3 linked regions of the Saccharomyces cerevisiae S288C genome follow. The gene in region 2 interacts genetically with the main gene of each other region. Each region holds a gene or a part of one and is shown on either strand. Other genes may lie near its edges.

Region 1 (2,950 bases), on a different chromosome or scaffold from region 2:
TTGGAACTGGGCTGGATTTTCTCGACATACATTTCTTTTACGTTTTAATTTGTTTCTATATTCTCCTCTTTAAATTTATTTATATTAATGAATTTCAAACTAGTTTCTTTTTCTATTGCCAAGAGGCCCATCAGGTGATCCATGATAACCTTTATTCGCATTGAATCGTTTTTCATTGGATCTAATTCGTCATTTGGTCGCCGCCTTTCTTTGCTCCTTCTGCTTTTTTCTTTTTCTCTTTGACTATCAGGTCATAAGATCTTCTCCTCCATTATGCCCAAGTGTTTTTCTTTTTTTTGCCTTTATATAAATTACAAAATACATACATATACTTCTCGTGCAGTATACTGGAATCAGCTTTATACCATATGAAGCACAACTTGGATCAGGACCGCTCTTCATTAAAAATCGAAGAATTATCTAAATAATTAATGTGCACGTCAATATATTCTCCGCGGAAACATGACAAACTTTTAGAAAAAGATTTAAAGCAATATTTTTCAGTTCTCCATTTCTTTATTTTTCAAGACCAATTCTAGTTCACCAATATCAAACATTCCTATGCCTTCCTGCAGAGCATCTGCCAAAATGGATAGTGATTTATTCGTGAAATCCGGGGCAGCTCTAAGACGATTGATATCATCACCGTAGTTTTCAAAAAGTAAATTTAAGTATTCTTCCCTTAACTTTGTCTTGTCTTTCCCTTTGGGCACAAAGTTTTCTGCCAATTCATTGTATTCTTCTCTCGCAAGCTTGATATTTTCGGCAATTTTCGATGCATTCATAAAACCCTCCTTGTTTTGAGATTTCGTAGGCTCTGGGATCTTGCTCAAAGAAATTTTGGTTAAATCGTCTATCACTTCTTTTGAATTTAACTTCAAATCCTTGCTTTCTTCGTCTGTAAGCTCGACATCCGAAACTTCTATTGCAATGTCCTCTTGTTTGTCTTCGTCATTACCTTTTGAGAAAACATGATCACTTTTACCATTTTCTCCAACGTGTTCTTCGATGGCCCCATTTTGGATTTCCTCCTTTTCACTTTCTGATGATGGATCCGATGATGAAGAATCTGATGATGAAACATCAGCTGTTCTTCTCTTCTTCCTCCTTCTGTTTTTTTTGACAGACTTGATATTTATGGCTGATATATCACCTGCCGACATCCTGTATAATATATTATGGCTAGTTCTTTCCGTGCTATTTCAAGTGGGCAGTTTAAATTCTTGTATATATTACTACAATATATGAAAGTTTTCGCTCTTCGTTTTTTGCAAATTTTTAGTGATGAGCTCTTCGCGCAAAGAAGTTTTCAATGCCCGTAAAGGCACCTAATTATATATCGAATTATTTTAAGCTTTCCGCTTCATCAATGCATTTTGTCTTTATATATCTAGTTTACAAAATAATATGTTGCTATTGCCTTGCTTTTAAAGGCTCAATATCTTGGACTTACTGCCTAGAATAGCTTATCCATTTCCACTAGCGCGTAGTCTAATATGTAACTTTGTTCAACTAAGTTATCAACCCTTGTGAAATGCCTTTGCGTGTATGGAATTATTGCATCAACTATCTTTACCATTCCGGGTATCTCACTCAATTTTGCTATGTTATGATGCATCAAAATACATCTTATTGTTCTTTGCGCTATGGTATGTGTTTTTGCATTTGTATTCCAATCTCTGCATCGTTTCATTAACAAAATTAACTGTTCATCATTTAGGATAGAGATGGCTTGGTCCAATTCTTCATTGAAAATGACTTCAATTTTGCCCTCTTCGGTATCTTGTCTAGACCTTGATTCGCCCAAAGCTCTTTTCAAAACATTAAACAACCTCATTGGGTGATCTAAAGTCATTGCTAACAAAAATGCATTTGTCCAATCACCTTTGCTCATATAATTTTGAAGCGATTGTTCTTGTTCGACTTGTAATTTAGCTTTTTCTTGTTCTTCTTCTATTTCTTGTTCCGTACAATCTTTCCAAAACTGAAAAACACCATCTGCATCAGCACTTACGATCATATCACCATCATTCATAGTACTTAAAGCCCATAATCTATTATTATGACCATCCAAAGTCTTCAGACATTCACCGCTAGAACAATCCCATATTTTGATCAAGCCATCAGCACCACAACTGATCAGTTGTTTTTGCTTATTAATAAACGAACATCTTTGAACCGCATTGGTATGACCTTCCAATGTTTTCATAACGCTGAATGTATCCAATGACCATATCTTGACTGTTTTATCACCTGAAGAAGTTGCCAATAATTTATCATATTGGCAAAATGATACATCCCATAGTCCACGCTTGTGGTTGGCCAACGTGGCTTCCAATTCACCATTTTCTAGGTTCCAGATCTTACAGGTCTTGTCGTATGATGCTGTTGCAAAAATAGAATCGTTAGGAGAAACTGACAAAGCATTGATATCCTTTTCATGGGCATGACGAGTATATTCGGATACCTTGATGATTTGAACATCCATACTAGCAGTTGGCTTTGGAATTATCCATTTCTTAATTGTTAAATCATTCGATGCTGTCAATAAAAATTCAGGATATCCCTTTGAAACTATATTTGGCAATCCAACAGCAGTTACGGCAGCTGAATGACCAATATACTTGGCATAAATATCAAACTTGCAGCTGTTCTCATTGTATCTCCAAACAATAGCCGTATTATCTTTAGAGGCGGTTGCGATCCACAGGCCATCCTCAGTAGCATCCAATGAATTTAGCAAATCTTCATGACCTTCATAAATTTCGACATCCAAAGGCAGCGAAGCTTCTGGGCCTGATAAATCGGGGACGGGTATTATCCTAAGCGATGGAGAATTGGTAGCTAAAGCTAATTTATTCAGCTCTGGGCCAACATACCTCATGTCAGCAATAATACCATGATTACCAGCAATGCTCGAAGTGACCTGTATTGTGTCTTCATCATTCTT
Region 2 (5,420 bases):
AAGGAAGAGAAAAGGCATATCGAAGGGTGTAATGACAAAAGCTTATACTATCGTTATCAAGCTGGGCAGTTCGTCGCTCGTCGACGAGAGCACAAAAGAGCCAAAGTTGTCCATCATGACGTTAATCGTCGAGACCGTGACGAATCTTAAGCGCATGGGCCACAAAGTGATCATCGTATCCAGCGGCGGCATTGCCGTTGGTTTGGACGCTCTCAACATTCCGCACAAGCCTAAGCAGTTGTCTGAAGTGCAAGCGATTGCCGCTGTCGGACAAGGCCGTCTCATCGCGCGCTGGAACATGCTGTTTTCCCAGTATGGCGAGCAAACAGCGCAGATCCTGCTCACGCGTAACGATATACTGCGTTGGAACCAGTACAATAACGCACGCAATACAATCAACGAACTGCTGGCCATGGGTGTCATCCCTATAGTCAACGAAAACGATACGCTATCCATTAGCGAGATCGAGTTCGGCGATAACGACACGCTTTCTGCCATTACCGCTGCTCTTGTAGGGGCGGATTTCCTGTTCTTGCTCACAGATGTGGACTGCCTATATACAGACAATCCGCGCACTAATCCGGATGCTCGTCCTATTGTTCTCGTGCCAGAGCTATCAGAGGGCCTTCCGGGCGTCAACACTTCCAGTGGTTCAGGCTCCGAGGTTGGCACGGGCGGAATGCGCACCAAACTCATAGCCGCCGACCTCGCCTCTAATGCCGGTATCGAGACTATTGTGATGAAGAGCGACCGTCCAGAGTACGTCCCGAAGATCGTTGACTACATTCAGCATCACTTCCGCCCTCCGCGCCATATCGGAAACGGCACACAGCAGCAGTTTCTCGATCTTCAGGATACGGAGCTCGAACAGTTGCGTCGCTACGATGTTCCCATGCACACCAAGTTCTTAGCTAATGACAACAAACACAAGCTTAAGAACAGGGAATTTTGGATTCTGCACGGGCTCATTACCAAGGGCGCCATTATCATCGACGAGAACAGCTATGATAAACTTTTGTCAAAGGATATGGCTAGTCTGACTCCAAACGCCGTGATCGAAGTCCGAGACAACTTCCACGAACTTGAATGCGTTGATCTCAAAATAGGCCAGCGGTTACCCAATGGCGAATTGGATATCTCGAAGCCGATTCAGTCTGTTGGATGCGTCCGCTCCAATTATACGAGTCTGGAGCTTGCGAAGATCAAGGGCTTACCCAGTGAGAAGATTCACGATGTTTTGGGCTACAGTGTGAGTGAATACGTAGCACATAGAGAAAACATCGCTTTCCCTCCGCAATTTTGAGAATATTCCCTTTTTTTTACCGGATTAAAAAAAAAAAAAAAAATTCTGTTATAGATGCACATCATATCTCTCTCCTTTTTCCCGCTTTTATATATTCGTTCGTATTAGTCACAACAAAAACCAAAAGAATACTCGAAATGTTAGTTTATATATATATATATAGTGTGCGTTCTTTGCGGATATGGAAAATCTTGATATCTGCTGCATTCACGACTATGTCGCGCGGCAAAGGTATGCTCAGCTTACCGTTAATGTATAAAATATTCTCTGCGAAGTTGTAGCTCGGAGAGAACCGGTCCGGCTTCGAGTTCGGAGCTTTGTTCTCAATAAGAATTCGCAGCTTGTAGGCGGCCCCTTTGAACCTCTTCATCTTTACCTCGTATTCCGGCACGTCCTCCTGCTGCTCGTGCGGTGCAGGTGCAGGTGCAGGTGCCTGTTTCAGGTTTCTGTGAGCAATCTCGTTCTTATCAATCTCCTCTATCTTGGCTCCGGAGATTTTGTTCTCGATAGGGAACAATGGTGGTAGTGTTCCATCGTCGGGATCATTATTATCATCGCCATCGTCATTCCTTCCTCTCAATATACTCATCGGGTCTCCGGCCTCCTCTTCTATGATTTTATGCATTTTTGCCTTGTAATCTTGATGTAACTCATCATTCAATACCTCTAGTGCAGGAAGCTCAGCGCCCTTCTTCTTCATCTTGGGGAATGCAATGCGATCTCTGCACAATACCACCGAATCTCGGATCTCACATGACTCCAAGCACCATTCGACCAGTATCTCTCGCAGTTGGATATCATCGCATATCCAGCGCGAGCAATCGCTATTTATGCAGCAATCCCACACATAGCACTCCTGCCCCTTCTTGTCATGGTCCATGCGGTAGCAGGATGTAATAATAGGAATCTCCCATTCGTTTTGGATGATGAGCGGGAACACTATCCTTGCATTAAAATCGACCTCAGGTTTGGGCACTAACGGAGAGTGACAAACATTGATGAACACCTTCCTGCCATCTTGCAGTTTTTCCGGCCCATTAGCGGATAATAGTTTTGTCTTAATTACAAAATCTGCGATGGGCTCAATTTTAGACACCGATCCGTCTGCAGCGTCCACCGACACGTACTTGTCCTCGTTTCTATGACGTTGCTTAATTGGTCTCAATAAGAAATCGGCCATCGGTTAAGGTCTGTTTGTTCGCTTTGAAAAGTCTGTTCCCTGTATTCCTTTTTCTTCCATGCATATGAATTCAAGAATTCCTAGTTTTTTTCTATCATTATTGTCTTCTGATTTTTTTTAAGGAAAAAAAATATCAAGAGTAAAAATAGTGATCAGGTACTGAATCCTGTATTTGTACAATACTGCAATCTAGCACCAAATTTGGCCAAGGAAGTGCCTATGTGTTCTCCAACTAATTTCTTATATGAGCCCTTTTCCAGCGATGCTGTGACGCAGAACTATGACCAAAATCTAAAATGCACCAAATGTGGCGCCTATTATTCGATGGCTTGTTCCCTACGAGAACAGAATGTTTGGACTTGTCTATTCTGCAACCAATCAAACTCAAATGCTGAATTGCCACTGGTACCTTCCAACACCTATACATTGACTTCTGCAAAGAAAGAAATACTTTCAAGACGGACCATTATGATTATAGACGCTATTTGCGATCCTCATGAGCTAAATTATTTAGTTTCCATTCTATGTAATAATTACATCACAAGACAACAAGAGCCACTATCAATAATTACTATTCAGCAATCAGGTCATGTGATTTTACACAATGCTGTGAATCACAGACGTGATGCTGTATTTTCAATAAATGAATTTATGACCAAATATAATCTTGATAAATTAAATGCCAGTTACTTCGAGAAAAAAATTTCAGAAATCAATCAAGAATCATACTGGTTTGATAAATCTACTCAGGGTTCTTTAAGAAAATTGCTACGGGAAATATGCAAGATTGCAAACAAAGTGAATATCAGTTCTAAAAGGGACAAGCGTTGCACCGGATTAGCGCTGTTCGTTTCATCCGTACTGGCGTCTCAGTGCAGTTTGTCAGCCTACTGTCATATAGTTTCATTCCTGAATGGTCCATGTACTAAGGGTGGCGGCAAAGTTATGTCAAGAGAACGTGGTGAAAGCATGAGACAAAACCACCATTTTGAATCCAAAAGTTCACAATTGCAACTATCAAAAAGTCCGACAAAATTTTACAAGAAAATGCTTGAAAAATTTGCAAACCAATCGTTAATCTATGAATTCTTTATAGCTTCATTGGATCAAATCGGTATACTCGAAATGAGTCCATTAATAACTTCGTCAATGGCAGTTTCTCAGTTTGATTCATTCAATGATGAGAGATTCGCAATGTCTTTTCAAAAGTACCTGAACTTGCGTGACCATAATGCCATTTACAATTGTCATTCAAAGATAATGACCGCAAAGAACGCTATTGTCGTTAAGGACTTCCCAAAATATAGCTTAAACCCTAAAAACCTTTCTCTACCATTAGAAATCTCACTAGGTCACAATTCAGCTGAAGCTCCTATACAGTTTCAAACCACTTTTGAAAATCAAACGGAAAAATACATAAGAATTGAAACCCTCTTATTGCCAAAAGCCAATAGATCATTTGGGGCACAAAATGAAATTGTGTTTTCAATGAAAAAGATAGCCTCACGAATTATCGATAGCTTTGCTTACTCATCCAAGCACACTAAAGAATTGATGAAGCAATTGTTTCTATTACCAAATCAAATCCGGGGAAAAGACGTAGATATGGTCAATCTGATACAGTGGTGTTATCATATATATAGGTCTCCAATTCTATCGGTTCGGAATACTTCACCTGATGAAAGGTACCTTTTTCTTCACCGAATAATAAACGCTTCTAAAGACACATGCCTTTCATTATGCAAACCCTTCATCTGGAGTTACAGTGATTTGAAACACGACTGGATCGTGTTGGATGTCCCATTAACAAGAGCCCAGATACTTCAAGATGATAAAACCACCATTTGTGTAGATGGTGGCTCGTACTTAGTTTTAAGAAGGGGAAAACTTTTGGAAAAAGAAGGTCGCGAGCTCTGTTGCAAGCTTTTAAATGACTTGCAAAGGTTTCCGCAGCCATTATATGTTGAAACTAAAACCGGTGGCAGTCAGGACCGTTTCTTGAAAAGCAAAATTATTCCCTTGGACATCACTGACAAGGAAACTCTTGGTACAGAGGATATGACATTCAATGAATATTTCAACTTGTTCACCGATCTAAGTGGAAGCAAATAACTCGCTAAATATTCTTGCTGCACTTTGCGACGCCTGTATTGGCGAAAACAAAAAGTAAAGAAAAAAAAACTTTAGATGAAATAGAGCAAAATTCCCTAAGACAATAGAAGATACAAAAGCAAGTTGGGCCCTTAATTTCATCAAAGGTATAGCATCTCATCAAATAGTCGCTTGTTTATCGCAATACTTGCTTATTGAGTAGTTGTATTATAACGTTATATAGGATCTTCCATATGGAAAGTTTTGAAAATTTGAGCATAAGAGACAGTTTCACTAGCGGAATGGAACACGTTGACGAGGAGTTAGGAGGCCTCTCCGACCTAAGTATATCTAAGCAGGGGCCAACTTTGTCACCACAGCTTATCAACCGATTTATGCCCCATTTTCCCTCGAGCCCATCACCTCTGCGAAATACATTGGATTTTAGTGCTGCTAAAGCTGATGAGGAAGAAGATGACCGAATGGAAATAGATGAGGTTGATGATACAAGTTTTGAAGAAGAATATAATAACGAGCCAATCGAAACTCATACTGAAGCGACTGAGAATGCCGTGGTGGAAGAAATCGAGGCTACCCCAGAAGAAAGACAAAAGCAAGAGAAGAATGAAAGCCAAGACCAAAGTGTAGAAGAGGTCGAGAACATTGTTTCACCGCATCGTTCAACTGTCATAAAGGCATTATTATCACCGACCGATTTAGGTGTGGCCGCAGCTACTAAAGTTGAAGGTGTTGTGCCATTACCACCATCGGCCAATCAAGATGACAATGAAAGTTCGAATAACAACGCAGAGGGTGAAGACATAATCAGAAATGAAGAAGTCGAAG
Region 3 (3,310 bases), on a different chromosome or scaffold from region 2:
TACGTTGGTCATCTCATAGAAGAACGCAAAGTACACAGGAGAATTCTTTACAAGAAGTTGTTGCTATCGATACATTATTGAAGATGTCCTCATCGGACTGAACTAATGATTCGGGTTTCGCATATATACATGGCTTTGGCTACTTTTAGGTTTATAGTTCTTGCTGTTTATATCACTAATATTTAGTATATAGCTGCGAAGAAAGAAAAAGAAAATATTCACCTCTAGGAGCCAAAAACATAAAAAAAAAAATAATTAAAAAAAACTTTTATTGAATGCTTAATTATTTAGTGACGCGATTACCTATATACCAGGTTATTTATTTTTTCTTTTTTCAAAGGAAAACAATACAAAATATTACTGTTACCATTTTTGTTACTATTATTATTGTCTTTATTACTATTATTTTTCTATCGTTGCTATAATTACAATTTGTTTACTCTACAACTTAAAAGGAGATTACTCCAGACAACGAGTTTTGTTTTATGTTTCCTATTCTTTTAATCTTGGAATTTGTATGAACCACTTTCTAATGTAATGGATCCACCTCTGTAAGAACCTCTCTTCATTTTATTTTTGTTCTTCGTGAAATCTTTACCTCTTACTCTACCTAATTTTTCATTTGCCTTTTCACCCCATGTTCCAGCCGCGCCTTTGTAGGTGTTGTCTGTCAACTCCCAAGCTTCGAAATTAATCTTCGATCTATCTACTCTGGAAAAATGCTTTCTTTGGCCCTCTTTGATCTCGTCGGTTCCAGCAGGAATGTTCAATTTATTGGCGCTTGATGAACTGGAAGCAGATGGAGTTGATTCGTTAGATGAGGCAGGCGTTTCTTCGGCCTTGGATTCGTCTGCAGTTGCTTCTTTTGTTTCCAATTCAGAGCTAGAACCAGAGTCTGAGTCGGAATCCGAATCGGAGGAATCAGAAGATGTAGATTCGTCGGAACTTGAATCAGACGAGCTTGAAGAATCGGACGAGCCTGAAGAGTCTGAGTCCGAGCTTGAGTCGGAATCCGAATCTGAATCCGAGGAAGAGCTGCTAGAGCTGGAGCTAGAGTCGGAGTCAGATGAAGAGTCGCTGGAGCTGGAGTCGGAGTCAGACGAAGAGTCGCTAGAGCTGGAGCTAGAACTTGATTGAGAATCTGATTCAGAATCTGATTCGGAATCAGAAGAACTACTTGAGCTAGAACTTGAGTCAGAATCAGATTCCGAACCTGATTCTGATTCTGAAGATGACGATGACCCGCTAGAGCTTGACTCCGATGAGGAAGAGCTTTCTGGTTCAGTTTTAGCCTTTTTAGTCTCCTTAGCATCTTCGTTGTCTGATTCTCTTGCTCTTTTCTTGGTTTCATCTTCTGATTCGGATTCCGAAGAAGATTCGTCAGAACTAGAGCTAGAGGAAGAAGAAGATCCACTGGAGCTAGAGTCGGATTCACTAGAAGATTCAGAGTCACTGGAACTTGAGCTTGAGCTAGAAGAAGAAGATGATGATGAGCTAGATTCAGAGTCACTGCTGTCACTGCTGTCACTGCTGCTGCTGCTGCTGCTGCTGCTGCTGCTGCTTGAAGATTCGCCGCTAGAACTGGACGAGGAAGATGAAGAAGAAGAGGAGGAGGAGGAGGAGGAGGAGGAGGAAGAAGAAGAAGAAGATTTCTCTTCAATCTCCTTCTCCTTAACACTTAATTTTGGCACTTCGTCAACTTTAATTTTCTTGGAAGCCATTGCTATGTATTCTTAGTGTACTGCGACTTGGGTTTCTTTCTTGCTTTGTATAAAAGTGCGATGAGTTCAATCATCAAGTGAATTTTTTTTTTTCAGCCTGCATTGAAAAAAAAAAAATTGTATGCTCGAGCGATGGGAAGGTTTTTTCCTCTTCCCGTTCAAAGCTTCCTCGGACCAACTCCACTTTTTCTCGGCCCGTTGTAAAGAAATGGGTAAGAGAACTAAATTGCAATAAGCTTCGAATTATCGTTTTGATCCAGACATAAAGAGATGTACAAACTACAAAACAAGAGTAAAATAACTCGAACGAAGGGTACACCTTCTGTAATAAAACAAATTCACTATAACTGCCTTATTGGAGTGAAAAAACAAGATTATGTAGACCCCCTCTCGCGATAAAGAACATTAATGACTGCAACACCCGCACACCACAAGGTGAAGGGCAAAGGTGAATTAACCAAAGTGAAGAGGACGACGTAGAATCAACCAGGTATCCTTGATAAGGGGAGGAGTAAGAAAAAAGTGTGTCGAACGTAAATTTATGTGTCTAATGAAAGTATCTTCACACTAAGATTATAATTCTCCTTGGCAAAACAAAATGACACCTTTGTCCTGTTTTCGTTATCTACTTTTTTTTGTGTCAGATGTCATTTTGGTCTCCTACGCATCCACTACATCCTTGTCACAATTTGTTATCAGTAACCAACTTAGATGACTTGCACCAGCGCCACATCTTCGAAAGCGTTGAAACAAACTACGTAAACAAACAAAAAGTCAACATCCTGTAGATGTGGCTGCAAAACCACAGAATCCTCGTGTGGGAGAAAATATTGATAGGACCAGAGCGAACTTTTTTGATACAGACGTAGGAGGTAGCCGTTACCGCATTAGTATACTATATGCGTACGGCCGCCAAGAGCCCAAGAAAGAGACACAAAACTACGTGGGATAAGCTTGGGGTAACGCAATCAGTATTGTTCATTTTTTTTCCCGGAAAAGCTAAGAGTTTTCTGGCGAGATAAGATAACGGCGCCGAAGGCAGCGGCGAACTGACTTACCTCCGTCGGCTCCGGCGTACGGCACCAAAAAATCCCGCAATAACTTGACACCAATGGGCTAACGGCGTCCGCAGAACCGTGACGCAATCTGCGGTTTGTGTCAAGACAGAGAAGTGGGCTGCTTCTCCCCTTTCAACACTCCCCTCCCATGGCTGAATACTCAGACGTTTTCTGTGGTGGAAATGGCATCAAAAGTGCCACTGGCTGGCGAATCCAGACTATTTTGTGTCAAAGAAACATGCGTACCTGCACAATAAAAAGAAAAGGCCCGCCCTACTGACATCCTGTTCAGGATCCTCGAAGAACAGGAAAAAGGACAACCGTCCTTTTCACTTCACGTTCGCAGGGCTTTCCTCGATATAATGGCGATTACACAAGCGGTGGCGTCTTGAAAAAAGTTGGGTTTCTTATCTGTACGGCGATCACTCCCCTCATATGATAGCTGTGTAGAGTGACTTGCTCTTTGATTGGCCTTACTTCTTGCATCTATCATCCTTTCTTTTACTCTCTCCAATCACCACAACTCATATC

The links.
Region 1: mutations in PIH1 (region 2) and RSA3 together harm fitness more than expected from each alone (negative genetic interaction), as found in Saccharomyces cerevisiae (3 studies listed by BioGRID, with this or other methods).
Region 3: mutations in PIH1 (region 2) and SRP40 together harm fitness more than expected from each alone (negative genetic interaction), as found in Saccharomyces cerevisiae (4 studies listed by BioGRID, with this or other methods).

Annotation. Positions count from the first base shown.
Region 1 is NC_001144.5:577,862-580,811, forward strand, and holds RSA3 (Rsa3p), read right to left. Parts: upstream 1,164-2,950; coding exon 501-1,163; downstream 1-500. Other genes in the region: U3 snoRNA-associated protein UTP13, read right to left, coding at 1,457-2,950. UniProt on the Saccharomyces cerevisiae protein: Required for efficient biogenesis of the 60S ribosomal subunit.
Region 2 is NC_001140.6:175,517-180,936, forward strand, and holds PIH1 (Pih1p), read right to left. Parts: upstream 2,484-5,420; coding exon 1,449-2,483; downstream 1-1,448. Other genes in the region: YHR033W (putative glutamate 5-kinase), read left to right, coding at 32-1,303; GTPase-activating protein NEL1, read left to right, coding at 2,703-4,595; BRL1 (Brl1p), read left to right, coding at 4,829-5,420. UniProt on the Saccharomyces cerevisiae protein: Involved in pre-rRNA processing and required for the NOP58-snoRNA interaction.
Region 3 is NC_001143.9:612,165-615,474, forward strand, and holds SRP40 (Srp40p), read right to left. Parts: upstream 1,722-3,310; coding exon 501-1,721; downstream 1-500. Other genes in the region: DNA-binding protein SRL3, read left to right, coding at 1-101. UniProt on the Saccharomyces cerevisiae protein: Not known; weak suppressor of a mutant of the subunit AC40 of DNA dependent RNA polymerase I and III.